Regions from separate parts of the Mus musculus genome. Here region 1 is reported to be linked to region 2. The links are microRNA targets in miRTarBase. Many come from high-throughput screens and were not tested one by one. Region 2 holds a microRNA gene; the other region holds the end of a gene's coding sequence.
The links. Region 2 holds the annotated microRNA mmu-miR-24-3p (UGGCUCAGUUCAGCAGGAACAG, at 2,170-2,191, shown strand). A microRNA usually pairs through its seed, bases 2 to 8, with sites in the 3' UTR of a target mRNA and lowers its output. Matches are read on the target gene's strand: a 7mer-m8 pairs with bases 2 to 8, a 7mer-A1 pairs with bases 2 to 7 and ends in A, and an 8mer does both.

Region 1 (7,099 bases), not on the chromosome of region 2:
TTTGAGGGACATGAAGTAAAGTAGGATGTGTGGATCAAGAGACAGAGACAGGGGTGTGGGGGTGGGAAATGGTTCAGATGAACAGCAGGAGACGAGCTAAAGACCACGACAGTATCTGTAAGGAACTGTAAAGGTATGCAATGTGGGACCAGGGAGGGCAAAGAGACAGAGAGAAGGCAGTGTGTGGAGAATGAGGGAGGCTCGAGTCAAACTGTCATCATTTAGTCGACAGCGTTCCCTTGGTCAGCTTCCCCTCAGTCACAGGCTTCCTATTCCCCATCCTCACTTAGGACCTTGTCTGACTCCTGGGTCTCTTTCCATTTCCCACCTCCCACCTCGTAAACATCACAGCCCAGAAATCCCTGTCTCCCAGTGGTGGTGGCCTCTGGAAGCCTTGTGCTTAGGCAGTAGACTAGAGAAAGCAGAGTCCTGGCACTTCTAGCTGAGGTCCAGAGCTCTAGCACTTCTTTGGGTAAAAGAGGCCTCTGTAACTGCACAGGAATAAGAGAACTCACTACAAAACAAAGGTAGCTACTTCCTGCCAACTTCTTACATTTTACCAGCTCAGCTGTAGCTGCAGCCTCAACCCCTAACGCTATCACCAATTCCTAACATTAATGCTGACTTTATTTCCTATTTCCCTATACATTGACATTCACCCCTTTCCCAGAAGACACCCATACTAATCTGGCTTTTATTTTTAGGCCCAAATCCCCCAAATTTAACCCTAAATACTCCCTCCCACCCCACCCTGCAGTTCTAAAGCTCATTTGTAACTTGGTTCTTAATTAACCTTTTCACTGTTTATTCTTAATACTGACCATGACACCGGCCTTTAATCCCTAAAACGGGCATCTAAGCCAATTCCTGTTGATCCTTAACCCGATCCTGTACTCTGACTTAATGCTGGTCATTGCAGAAAATAATGACCTCAGTTTAAATGTCACATATGCGAAACAGACTTGACTCGTGCAGCAAATGTTTAGAATGTAGTTCACCTTCTTAACTTCTAAAGGGATCCTTGCTTCCTAAACGCGACGGCACCTAACCCAAACTCACCCCAAGTTTTCCTAACCACTTACTCACTATCGGCTAATACCAAAGCCCATCCCCGCCCAGTGCCTCACTGCCACCCAGTGCCTCACTGCCACCCCATTTCTACCCGTCCCCAAACCTAGCCGAGACAGAGAACTGTCTACCCCCGCGAAAGGGCCTGCTTCTCGCAACAAGGCCAGCTTAATTCCAAATCCAAACCGAAACATACTGGACCCTGACCTCCCTAACCAGACACAGGATATGCAGGAGGATTGGGGGCCCCGCCCGCCGCTTCCCGGGCTGGCCCGATCCCGCAGCCCCACCTAGAAGCTCGGCCCAGCCCGTCCGGCCTACCTGCGCTGCCCGGCTCTGCGCCCCGCCCTGGGCCCGCTACCCGCTCCTTCTCCCGGTCGCTTTTGGGGCTCCGGCCTCGCCCTCCCTTCGACACACTCTCGGCCACTTCCGTCCTGGAAACGTCCCCCACCCGCCGGCGGCGCCCTGGGCCCGCGCTCTATGGTAGCGGAGACTGCAGGAAGCTGCTCTGGCCGTAGTTCTCGATGCTCGGGCGCCCGCGAAGCCTGGCCGCCCCTCCCCAGCAGGAAGCGAGCGTGCAGAGCTCTGGAGAGAACGCCCGAACTAAGCTGGAGTTCCCTTTTAAACGCTTAAGTTTTTTTTTTTAATAGCTCGAGGCGAAGGCGGACAAGGATCCTCAGAATCCCCGCCCTGGGGCGTGGGAAGCTTGAAAGGACGTCCCCATAATTTGCATAGCCCCCGGGACGTGGCGCAGCCCAGGAGCCACTTCCGAGTTGGAGAGAACTCCAAGTCCCAGGATTCCACGGGGCTATGTGCACCACTTCCGTTGTGTTGGAAGCTGAGGAATACAGAAGCTGAGAGACGGGTGCGGTTTAGAGTGACAGCTAGGCCCTTGTCCCGGAGTGACGGAGGTTAAGTCGAGCCGACTGGACAGACTGAGGGGTCGTGCCTGAGGTTCGGAGGTTGGATCTGCGCGGAGGGATTTCTATCCATAGATATCCCAAATGGATCCTGGTGGTCAGGATCTGCTAGCTTTGGATCCCGGTGATCAGGACCTGCTGGGCTTCCTGCTAGAGGAAAGCGGAGATTTGTGGGCTGCGACTGAGCCGGACGTGAAGGCTCCGCTGGACTTAGAGCTGTCACCTTCCGAGGTGGGTGGGTGGGTGTTCCCAGTGGGGGAAGCTAGGGATGTCCGCGAGACCCAAGGTACGGAAATAAATCAAGGCCTTTGAATTTGATAGAACTCCGTGCAAGAACTGAGCGACTGGGAGGTAGAGGATTTACTGAGCTCTCTGCTCAGTCCCTCAGTATCGCGGGATGTTCTCGGCTCTTCCAGCTCTTCCATTCTCCATGATCACAACTACTCCCTTCCACAGGAGCACGTCTCCATAGATCTAGGTGAGTGTGAAATGATAAGTTGTGGGGGAGGAGAGAGCTCACTGGGCTAGCTGGTTCTACTTTCCCTTTTGCAGATACTGAGAGCTTCGAAAAGGAGGGGTTCCACGTGACTCCACTGCCAGGGGAGGAAAGAGCAGCGGAACAGGTGCTGGACTTGATTTTTTTTTTCAGGATTACCTCACTTTGCAGCAGCCAAGATCCCCCATACTGCTCTGAGAGCTCCATGCAACTCTGCTCTCTTCACTATTTCCTCCATCCTTAGGAGATGTCTAGGCTGATACTGACCGAGGAAGAGAAGAAGCTCTTGGAGAAGGAGGGGCTCACTCTGCCCTCAACCCTTCCTCTCACTAAGGTAAGGCTCCTGTTGGTAGAGCAAAGGCTGGAGGGGGTTGGTAACCCAAGTAGGCAAGCTCAGTTTGTTTCATATCAATCACTTGCAAAAGGACAAACCAACTCCTACAAGTTCTCTCATCTCCAAACACACACCCACGTCAAAAGATAATGTTTTAAATGTAACTTTAGTACAGAGCCTTGAAAGTGAAGGGCCTTGATAGCTTCCGTTGTTATCTTGGGACCTCGAATCATACTCAGTGGTAGAAATGCTTGAGAGGCTGACTCAGTCTAACAACATCAACAATCGTCAAAGCTGGACATGATGGTGCACCCCTCTATAACCCTAGCACTCTGGAGGCAGGAGCAGGAAGGTCTTCACAAGTTCAAAGTCACTTCCCACGTGCTGGGATTACAAGAATACTGCATCTAGTTTTTGTGGCAAATTTTTTTAATGTCATTTGCCTTTTTAATATTGTCTTACTTCTGATATGTAGATATTTACTTATTTGGGGCAGGTGGATCAGCATTAACGGACAGACTTAGCTTCATGTTGAGTTCAGGCAAGCTTGGGCTATGTGAGAAACCATCCCCTATCCCTCTATCACTATTACAAGATGAATGAGCAATATATTGGGAGGAAAGGAAACGGAACTTGGAAATTATCAATAGTGGTTCTGTCCCTAGGATAGTAACTGTCTTGTCTTCCTTTACACTGGCCAGAGCATGCCATAATTCCCCTACCCACTGGGATTGGAGTACAGTACCTCATGAATGTTCATCAATGCTCACTGCTGAGCCACGCCCTCTGGCCCTTGTTGTTAAGGCAGGGTCTTGTAAACCCAGGCTGGGCTGGCCTCAAACTATGTAGTAGGGAAAGAATGCCTTTGAATTCCTGATTCTCCTGCTTCTAACTCCCTCGGACTAGATTACAAGTGTATGATGTCACTCTTGGCTAGTGTCCAAGTTTGACAGGCATTATCAGAGAATGTAAGAGTTAACTTTATTCAGTTTTAGTTTCTGAAAGAAAAAAAGTTGAAAGTACCTTAAGATAAGGATATATTCTATATCACTTTAGAGACTCTAGGAAAATCAAATGAATGGAAATTATAAGAAGATTGATGTTGCTTTAGGATAAGGGTAGATGTTGTTGTTGTTAGTTTTGAGACATGGTCTTATGTAGCTCAGTCTGTCCTCAAAAACTACCCTAGCCAAGGATGGTCTTGAAATCCTGACTTCCTTCTTCTGCCTCCCAAGTGCTGATACTACAGGCATGTACAACCACACCTAGCTTAAGTGGAATTTTTAAAATTAATTAGAGACTGGAAAGATGATTCCGTGGTTTAGAGTACTTTCTGCTTTTCCATGGGGCATGAGTTCAAGTCCCAGCTCCCACATGGCAGCTTACAATCCGAGGAGATCTGACACCCTCTTCTAGCCTATGTGGGCACTAGGCACACCCATTATACATATACGTTATACAGACATGCAGGCAAAACACCCAAACACATAAAAAATAATAAAAAGTCTGGCTTTCTAGTGTTGAATATCTGCTCCTTGGTGTTCACACAGAAGGTAAATGCCTACTGACAGAGAGGCTGTGGAGAGTATTTGATTGGGAAGAAGGTTAGCTGTCTTCCAACATACCTATGTAGTATATATAGGTATAACATACAGGCATATAATAACATACTGTGGGTGACCTTTCCCCCATCTTCTCTTAGGTGGAGGAACAAGTTCTGAAACGAGTGCGGAGGAAGATTCGTAACAAGAGAGCAGCTCAAGAAAGCCGCAAGAAGAAGAAGGTGTATGTCGTGGGGCTGGAGAGCAGGTAAGCAAGGATGGACACGGGGGAAGCCTGGAGGGTCTTGAAGGGAGGAGACACAATATTTTGAAATCCACGTGTCCTCACATCCATGTTGTCCTCTAGGGTCTTGAAATACACAGCTCAGAATCGGGAGCTGCAGAACAAGGTGCAGCGTTTGGAGGAACAGAATCTGTAAGCGGCCATTTGAAGACAATCGGTTTTTTAATGCTTTCTCACTCTTTCCACTGTTCCACATGACTTCCAACTGGATAGCTCAAAAATGCAGACATCCGGAAGTTAGCCATGTCTCAAGCGTGATGGAGAATAAACTTATAAGTAGCTAAGGAGCAATTAAGTACCAAGATAGAGAAGTAAGAAAAGACTGCAGGTCGTCAGCGTCATTGCAGTTGCAGCTGTGGGGATGGGACTGGGAGGAGAGAAGGCTGCATTGTGCTTGGCTGGCTCTAGCTCTGGGGTTGGGTAGAGAGCACAGGGCTTGGTGGGGAAGCACAAGCTTAGTTGATCAGGTACTGCAGCTACTGGAGAGTTTTTCTTGAAGGTATTTAAGTCAGGACAGAGCAGTTTGATTTTTTTTTTGTCTCACTAAGGAATCACAGGCATTTGTGCACAAAGACACTTGGGGTGAGGGGGAAAGGCAAGGAAGCTGAGACTGGATCCACAGCATGAGTGGAGAGGGTAGCTAAGACAGGAGGCCTTCATCGTGCCTTGCATGCTCGGCCAGAGCATGCGCACTACCGTCTCCTCTCGTCTCTTAGGTCCCTTCTAGATCAACTGAGGAAGCTTCAAGCCATGGTGATTGAGATAGCCAACAAAACCAGCAGCGGCAGCACTTGTGTTCTGGTGAGGAGGGTGACAAGAGATCCTTTCCCTGGCAGAGATGGGGTGTGTGACCCAGAGCTCTTCACCCCCTTCTTCTCCCTGTGTTCTAGGTCCTCGTGTTCTCCTTCTGTCTTCTCCTGGTACCCGCTATGTACTCCTCTGATGCAAGGGGAAGTGTGCCCGCGGAGTATGTTGGTAAGAGGCTTAAGGACACCTTCGGGCGTGGTCTGTGGTAGAGAGAGGGCTTCTTCTGTGTGGTCTCCTGACCAGTCTTTGTCTCTTCAGTGTTGCACCGCAAGCTTCGTGCCCTCCCCAGCGAGGACGATCATCAGCCGAAGCCATCTGCTCTATCGTCAGAGCTACCCATGGACAGCACACACCAGTCACTGGACAGCTCAGAACATATGTTCTTGGTCTCCAGCAACTTTTCCTGTGTACTGTACCACGCGCCTCAGGCAGAGCAGCCCCTGCACTGGCCACTCTGGGATCTTTCTTCAGAGATGCTCTTCTCCGACTCCAACCTTCTCCTGCAGGCAAACCTTTCAGAAAGCGAGGGATGGCAACCTAACCACAGCCCTTCTTTGGTCATCTTTCAGGGCAGGTATTCAGGTTAGGTGTGAGGATGTGGGGTGTCCTCAGCCTGAGGACTCCTGTCTGTATTCAAATAAAAAGGAGCAGGGGAAAGCTGGCCTTTGCTCACGTGCTCTGTTAGGATGCCCAGGAACTCAGACACACCACACTAACTAGTTTTCTGAGTATTTTATTTATACCCATATGTATCTGTTGCCCCGTGAATAGATTTGGAGACATTTACTGGCCTTGAATACTTCATCCATGGAAGGACTGGGTAGGGTAAGAAATAAATAAGTGGTTCCTCAGCCCCTTTTTACTGGCACAGCTGGGAAGGAAGAGGGGCGCGATTGTCCTATTGGCTCAGGGCTGCAGGACTTGTGGGAGGAAGGAGGAGGTCCAGTGTGGAGGCTGGGCCTCCACAGTTCAGAGGGATCACTCTGAATTGAGGTTTGCCAGCGATCTCTTTGGTCCACATTCAGGCTGTGTGCTTAGTCCCGTGCCTTGTGTGACTGATGGCCTGCGGCTCTTTTTATGCTGCTGCTGTTGCAGGGCCAGCTGCATGGCCCAGATGCTCAGTGGCCGCATGTAGGCCAGGGAGCGGAACACTTGTTGCTGGCAGTATGCCTCTGGGGTCTGGAAAGCCAGGCCCAGGCGTTCCCATACAGTGCGGTAACAGCCTTCAGCTGTCCGGAAACCTTCCCAAGTCAGGCCCTGTGGGGAGACGTAGAAGTCACACATAATAACTGACTCTTGGCACAATTACCTTAGCTGAGCAGAGAAGACAGGAGGCCGTTCGCCCTAAAGGCAAGAACTTAAAGGCAAGAGGTGGAACACTTATTAGGGAGAAGGGCGCTCTGTGGACGGATAAGATGGCAGGCAGTAGGGTGTTCTTGGAATAAAGTTAGTGGCTGAGGAAGTTTTCTGGACCTCAGTACAAATGGTGAAGGGCTGGGAAGAGAATTCATTACCTCTTGGATCATGGTGGCTGCCAGCCCATAGACCACACCCACCCAGACTTCATCAGACTGCACACTGGATCTATCAGGGACACCATGAGGGTGCATCCCGTTCACGGCCCCCATG
Region 2 (7,108 bases):
TGGATTTTGCACAGGTCCACAGGCTCCAGGGTCAAGGTCAACACAGCGGTCCATGGCCTCATTGCTCCAGGCTTCAGCATGCAGGCATCTCTCCTAGAGGCTGTGTAAACCTGAGACTCCTTGGCCTCTGGTTCTCTGACCTGTAGAGTAGGCAGCAGGTCTTCTCTGCCCCTCCATCCAAGTGACACTTGCGTCCTAAAGGCAAGTCTGTTTCCATCTCGTGCTGGAACAGGATTTACGCTGGCTCCCAGAGTCCTTGGCTGTGGTGTAACTTGCCTCCTCTGTAGCCAGCTTGTGGACCAGTAATGCAGTTCAGCCACAGGGCGTGGAGTTCTGAGACAGGTGTGGGCTAGTGCGTCTCTTTCATAGTCGCCAGTCATCATCTCTACATCATCCCAGGACATTATCGCTTGCCATGGTGGTACATATGATGTTTACTTTTGTATATGTTTGAAATTTTACATCAATCACTGTGTTACTCTGTTGTTCTCTATGATTACCAATTAATGAATATTTAGAATTGTGTTGCTAATCTTAACCCATTGTCAGACATTAAATTTACATTTTCACATTTCACTTTTATAAAACCCACTTCTGTGTAATGTTTATTTTTCTGAAGAACTACACTGATGAAGGGAAAACATGTTACTATGTATGACCATGTTGTTGCAGAAGAGCTGGGGACCGCCACAGTCAAGCAGGGGAGATAGTGGGCTGGAGTAAGCAGGTACAGCCTGCTAAGCCTGCACACTACAAGCTAGGACGGTGGCCTGTGTGGATAGACAGAGTCGGTCGGGGCGCCTCTTCACTGCCTCCTGCAGACATTTCTCTAGAAACTTGTAAGCTGAGGGATTGTTGGTATGTGGTGTGTGAAGGTCACACAGTAAAGCCACTGTTCCCTTTTTAGGTCCCTAGGCCTTCACTTAGGAAAGCCATAGTCACATAGTGGTCCTAGTGACTCTTCTAAGAGTATTTTTGCCCCCTGAGTGAGCAAATCCTCAACTTGCTAGGTCCCCTATGAGCTCTGTGCTATGCCTCAGCTTATCCAACCAAATGCTTGGTCACAGGCAAGCCAGAGAGATGCTCCCTCCCTACACACCACACCTGCTGTCTGAGGGGCCCAGAGACATCCCAACCCATTCAGTCTGCAATTGGAGAACAGGGTGTGTCCCAGGGTTAAAGGCCACATACTCAGAGCAAGGATGGTCCCTAAGGTATTGGTCTCATAGCTGATAAGTGTGTCCTTTGTCTCCCAGTCCCCTATGCTCCTCTATACAGTGCAGCCAGCGCGCTGAAGGACAGCAGGCTGCACTGCTAGCGTGGTGGGCTCAGAGGCGGTTTGGAGGACACTCAGCACATGTGGATGGGAGTGGTTGGGCATGGTGCTGCCCTCACCTGCTCTGGCTGCTTGGGTTCCTGGCATGCTGATTTGTGACTTGAGATTAAAATCACATTGCCAGGGATTACCACGCAACCATGACCTTGGCTGCTCCTGCAGAACCGTGGCTACTTTCTCTCTGCAGTTTGGAGAACAGAGGCGCCTTGTGGCTCTTTGGAAACAAAAGAAGCCAACAGCCTTCGAAGATGCTCACCAGCCCTTTAATTATGGCCGGCGATGACCTCTCTAACAAGGTGCAGAGCTTAGCTGATTGGTGAACAGTGATTGGTTTCCGCTTTGTTCACAGTGGCTAAGTTCTGCACCTGAAGAGAAGGTGAGATGGGGACAGTTAACTTGCAGCTGCCAGGCAGAGGCCACTGCCTGGTGGTCACTCCAGAGGAGGAGAGACCAGCCTGCCTCAAGGCTGTGTTGTCAAGAGTGCAAACAGCGTGCTGACCACCCTTAAGTGTGTCTACAGAAAATACAGTTCTACTGCTAATTAGTTCACTGTAATGTCAAGTGTATTGGGAGTCACAGAAAACTAAACCCAGGTGCATCAAGGAAACTGAGCCAACCTTGTCTCAGCTGATGCCACACGTGATGGGTGGGGGTGTGGTTCTTTGTCCCTGCTGGGCGTGGTGAACTCTTTCTTGTATTTGCAGTCCAGGTCTCCATGTCTCCACAGTCGCTGGCAAGATGATGCCCAGGGCACGCCAGGAGGCACTGCCCAGCTGTGATTGGACCCGCCCTCCGGTGCCTACTGAGCTGATATCAGTTCTCATTTCACACACTGGCTCAGTTCAGCAGGAACAGGAGTCGAGCCCTTGAGCAAAAAGCCTACCCATCTGTAAGTGCCTGAGGCAGGCCTCCCACGGAGAAGAAGATGAAGGGCCTGAGTGTCTGGTACCAGACCCAACAGCAGTGGTATCCCTCTGTATGTGCTCCCGAGGTGGGGATTTGTAGAGTGCAGAGCTAACCTTGGAAAGTTTGCATTCCCTAGAAGCAGGTAGGGCAGGCGCTGAGCATTTGCCACGTGTTGGGGCAGAGCACACCATGTCACCGCTGCCTTGAGCAGTGAGAATGCCTGTCTGAAGGGCCTTGTCTGTAGAGCCTTTCTGAACCTCTCTGGGCTTCACAGCCCTGCATGGCCTGTGCCGTGACTGTGCACCCCAGACCCAGGATTGTGAGGTGTGGCTTCAGTGTTGCCCCTGTCCTCCCATGAAAAGTTCCCTCTCAAGTGGAGGTCAGAGGCTGGGAGGACTCCTGTTGGAATGGCTGTGGTGACTGGGTAATAAATTTTATTGCTGTTTCCTCCACAGGACAGATCACAGTGAGATTCTCATATACCTTCTCCTAGCCCTGGTGGGGCCAGGACTGCACTGACCCTGGACATCAAAGGGAGGATTATGTGGCTGCTAAGGCCATCAGCCCACAGCAGTGGTTGGTCCATCTTGGGCTTCCAGAGACTGGGCTCCCGTGGCATATATAAAAGGCGGAGCCTCATAAACTGTTGCACCTGGCAGCTGCCTTTGTTCCCAGTCCTAGAGAGACTGAGTCTACACACTGGAATTGAGCTGTGACTTTAAGGCAGTCATTCAATGAAGGACACCCTCCCCTAGGCAGATGGAGAGCCGGTTGCCTGCTTCCTGTGATTGCAAAAACTAGCTGCCATGCTCTGAGACTGCAGAATCATGTGACACCTCCTGTGGCTGGTCCCCAAGGATTCTGCAAAGCCCTTTTGATGTGTTCAGTCAACAGAGCATTCCTGTTTTTGAAAATGCAGGAAAGCCTAAAATGTCTTAATAAAGTACCAGATTTGCTAGTGTTCCAGTTTGCTTCTGAATTTGATGCTCCTTAAAAGCAAAGAAGAACGTGTGTCAGAACAGGCACTTTCCACACACTTCCTACCTCCAGGTAATGTTAATTCTAAAAAGGTTGGAAGTAAAGGGAAATTAGTGTGGCTTGGGACTCTGCTCTCTTCCAAATGTGGAGTTTCAGCCAGCCTGGTACTAGCGGAGTCTCAGAACAAGCTCTAAGCTCTTTCAGTCACTGTCTAGAGAACGGTGCTTGAGACTGAGCCATCAGTGCAGTCACATGAGCCCAGCCAAGGCAGAGCGGTGGACAGAGGAACCAGAAGGAGCATCCCACTGGCTGGCCAGGCTTCTGCACCCAGACCTGCTGGGTGACAAAGGCTCTAGGACAGACTGAGAGGAGCGTCCGCACAGAACCATTGGTTTTCAGAGCCTGGGCTGTAGCAGTGACTGCATTTGGATGGTTGCAGGGGACTTGCAAATGGTTATCTGCTTTGTATACCACAATGGTACAAGTATCAAAGTGTGTTAATTCTACTTAATGTTACCCTGATTTCTGTGAAGACTTGAAATAAATGGCTGAGTCTATGCCTTCCTGCTCTCAGAAGCACTCTGGCCTTGCTTAGAGGTGGACTAAGAACCACACACCCTGTAAGGCCCCTCTGAGAACCTCAGTGGCCCATACCTCCTCTGAACTGGAGAGAGCAGCCAAGCACTGGTTTAGTCTGGTTTTGTTCTTTGTTCTTAGGAACCACTAAAGCAAAACAAAGCTGTCGCCTAAGGTGGGTTTTGTTCAGGGATCAAGTCCCTTGTCCCCATGGGTCACTGAGCCCTGTGCCTGGCTGTGTCTGGCTTGGGTTCTTGCCAATGGGTTTCAGGTAAGTGGAGATCTCACTGGAACCAGATGCCCATTTCACAGCTTTGGTGAAGGATCTGTGGTAGAGCTGTCCTTTGCCACCTCTGGCTGGGTGCAGAGCAAGCCTATCCTCCCCTCTCCTCTAGTCCCCCACCCCAACAAGTTAGGCAGCAGCTCCTGCCACCCATAGCTGCACCAGAGGCCCATGAGGCTGTGGAAGCAGGCTTCCCTCATCTGGCTGAGACCTCTGGAGTCAAGAAAGTGCAGTCTCCATTCTTCCGTGAGCCACCTGACTTCACAGGACACAGAACATTGCAAACGTTAACTTGTCAAATAGGATGCGAAGCAGGGTCTGAGGGCGGAAGAATGGATGTCTAGGGAGGCTTGACCTCCTCCTCTGAGCTGTCTCACCCAGGGAGGAGTTTGCTCTATAGCATATGGTTCAGGTGATGAGTGAACTGTTGGCGGAGGAAGGATGTGGATCATCACCCAGGCTCCTGCTCCAAACCACAAGTGGGCAGAGCAAGAAGCTGGATCCCTGGGTCAGTGTTTGCTGTAGACCACTCTGTAGTGCTTGGTCTTCAGAGCTTTGGTGTCCAAGCCTTAGGCAGGGGCTTGGAACCCCTCTAAGGAACTCTCCCTCCCACCACTCAGATGTGAGACTGAGCCTGTGTTGAAAGCCTGGAAGCCTGAACCTGAGTCTGCTCCTCTGTCCCTGGAGAGACTGAGACTGTCCTTGGTGGTCAGGCACACTTGTTGCCAGCACTATTTCCATGCCGTTTTCTAGCCTCACTTCATTCCTGGAGGAAGCTGAAGGGTGAGAGAAACCCAATGGGAGCAAAGTGCTCTACCACCAGGCCCATGCCTCCAGTAGGTAGAGGGGCCGGGACAGGAGGATCCGTGTGAGATAACTGCCAAGAGGTGAGTGGGATAGCAGAAACACCAGCCTCTTAACCCTGCCACTGAATACTGTCATCGTCATTGCTAAGCAGATGTCCATCACTTGAGAACAACAGGCCAGGGCTGGGCCAGCCTGTTCTCACTGATCCCACCAGAAATGGCCTCCTTCCAACCAAGACAGCCTAGAGTTACTCCATCTCTTCTCCAGAGGAGACACACCCCTCCGTGTTATCTGGGATGCTTCCGACAAGGATTAGAGCAGGCCTCAACCGGAGTGAGGCCAGGGCTACAGGAAGGGGGTGCATCTAGATCATCTGATGTTGACCCCTGGGCCATGGTTCCCTGCACAGGAGGAAACATCAGTGCCCCCACTGTGGGCTATCCTTCTGCATAGATCCTGAACCCACTGTTTTGTCCCTCTACATAGATCCTGAACCTGGCCTAGGAAGGGAGCCATCCACACTCGGATTTGTAGAAGAGAGTTGAACCCCAGGAAGGGGCAGAGGTTGGCTGGCTGGGAGCTCACCACCTTGTTTGTGAGCCTTTGGACAGAAGCCAAGGGAGAGGTACTGGGAATTCTGGCTGGACCCAGGCAGGAAGAAGGGAAGGGTGGGGTTGAGAAAGTCCCAGAAAGGACTCTGGGCGCTCTGACTCAGCTATTCCAATAGTACTGGAGGATTTTAAAGCATTTATGTATTTATTTATTCAAACGAATTTCACATCAAAAGAATGAAATAATTGATACTATAGCAAGGTATTCTTGCTTGTGGTGAGCAGAAATGTCATAGAATGTCCCCAGGGTAGAAACCAGAAATGGCAGATATCCCAAAGTAAGCAGTCCTTACCAAACGCAGAGGGTTTTTCAGGGTCCACTCCAGGCCAGTGCCAAGTTCCTACCAGGTTTTTCTCCTGACCGTGGCTTAGCAGGACATGGCTACACAAGCCCAGTGAGCGGCCAGCTAGCAGGGGATGCCACACACACAGGGATCTCTGTTATCCACAGCATCACCTTTGCCCCAACTCTCCAAAGCAGCTATGGCCCAGGAAGCAACAGAAAGCAGTACTTAGAGGATGGGATCTGAAGGGTTCACATGCAGAGCTGCTTGCTTCAGTCCTGCTGGTCCCCACCAGGCTTATACAGAGACGGAGCCAGCCAGTACAGGAACAGCACTGGCCTGGTAAGGGAAAGGAGAACACCCCGCCCCAGCTACACCTGCCAAGTAGTCCTGGGTGCTGGGCCTGTGGCCTTAGCTGGCCTGCTCCCTGAGTGGCTGGGCTGCCATACCCATTCCCACAGTATGTAGACACCTTGCTGCGGCTTAACATTGTTTCCAAAAGCTCAGTGGTTATTCAGCCCCTTGGAACACTCTCTCCCTAGGGAGTGGCCTAGCCTCATCACATCTCTGAGACTCCCAGGGCTGGCGTGGGTGGGGAGTGCCTGGACCTCCCAAGAAAGGTTTCAGGGAGTAGTCTCAGTGAGGGGGGTGAACTCACCCTAGCCACAGTGAATTCGGGGGCCCCTTGGCTGGTCTGTGGGGTTTACGAGGTGGGAGGGAGGAGCAGCCATCCGGCTATTCAGGGGACGGTTTTATGGCCCCCTTCCCACCCATTGATGCTGTCGGAGAGATTGATGAACCAATAAGGCAGTTCTCTTCAGACCAATGACCAGACAGTGTGAGACAGGGAGGAGACTGGGGCAAGCGGAGGAAGTTTCCCAGGATGGGGTGGGCTGCTGAGGAGACCGGCTCTTGGTGTTGGCATGTGTAGCCCCAGTGGGAAGACTGGCCAGAAAGAAGCCCTGCCTTGGTGGTTGATCCCGCTGGGAGTGTCCATGTCCGTGTTCTCGGAGAAGCATAGGAAACAAGAGGTACAGTCACCAGAATGTGGCCTCAGCAGCTGGCGATGGCCCCAGAAACCTGGCATGACAGGACGTGTGTGCAAGCTTGGGTTGGAGATACAATGCCCTTTCTCTTCAGCTGGCTTGTAAAATCAAATCTGGCCAATTCAGTGAAACAGGCTTGGGCTGGCTTATGAGTCCCCGAGGACAGAACAGGAATGAGTATGGGACCTCTCCCATCTGTCCTGGGTCCACCACTGTCTCTTGTCTGTATAATGACCTTACCTAGGCACTGGCAGGGTGGACCAGGAACATGGACGGGGCAG

Region 1: miRTarBase lists Gba2 as a target of mmu-miR-24-3p. Seed matches in the 3' UTR shown: 8mer at 6,373-6,380.

The regions. Positions count from the first base shown.
Region 1 is chr4:43,560,741-43,567,839 of GRCm38, forward strand. It overlaps Gba2 (glucosidase beta 2), which reads right to left. Exons shown (of 17, transcript NM_172692.3): 16 at 6,985-7,099; 17 at 6,188-6,727. The coding sequence ends at 6,449. Tln1 (talin 1) reads right to left here and starts at 1,843. Exons shown (of 57, transcript NM_011602.5): 1 at 1,390-1,843. It overlaps Creb3 (cAMP responsive element binding protein 3), which reads left to right and starts at 1,918. Exons shown (of 9, transcript NM_013497.4): 1 at 1,918-2,219; 2 at 2,310-2,466; 3 at 2,541-2,611; 4 at 2,729-2,818; 5 at 4,521-4,627; 6 at 4,727-4,795; 7 at 5,380-5,464; 8 at 5,554-5,638; 9 at 5,729-6,321. The coding sequence starts at 2,073. The coding sequence ends at 6,057.
Region 2 is chr13:63,299,082-63,306,189 of GRCm38, forward strand. It overlaps Mir24-1 (microRNA 24-1), which reads left to right and starts at 2,127; the gene lies at 2,127-2,194. It overlaps Aopep (aminopeptidase O), which reads left to right. Exons shown (of 16, transcript NM_001289926.1): 16 at 1-3,796. It overlaps Mir23b (microRNA 23b), which reads left to right and starts at 1,403; the gene lies at 1,403-1,476. Mir27b (microRNA 27b) reads left to right here and starts at 1,631; the gene lies at 1,631-1,703. It also overlaps Mir3074-1 and a transcript of Fancc not described here.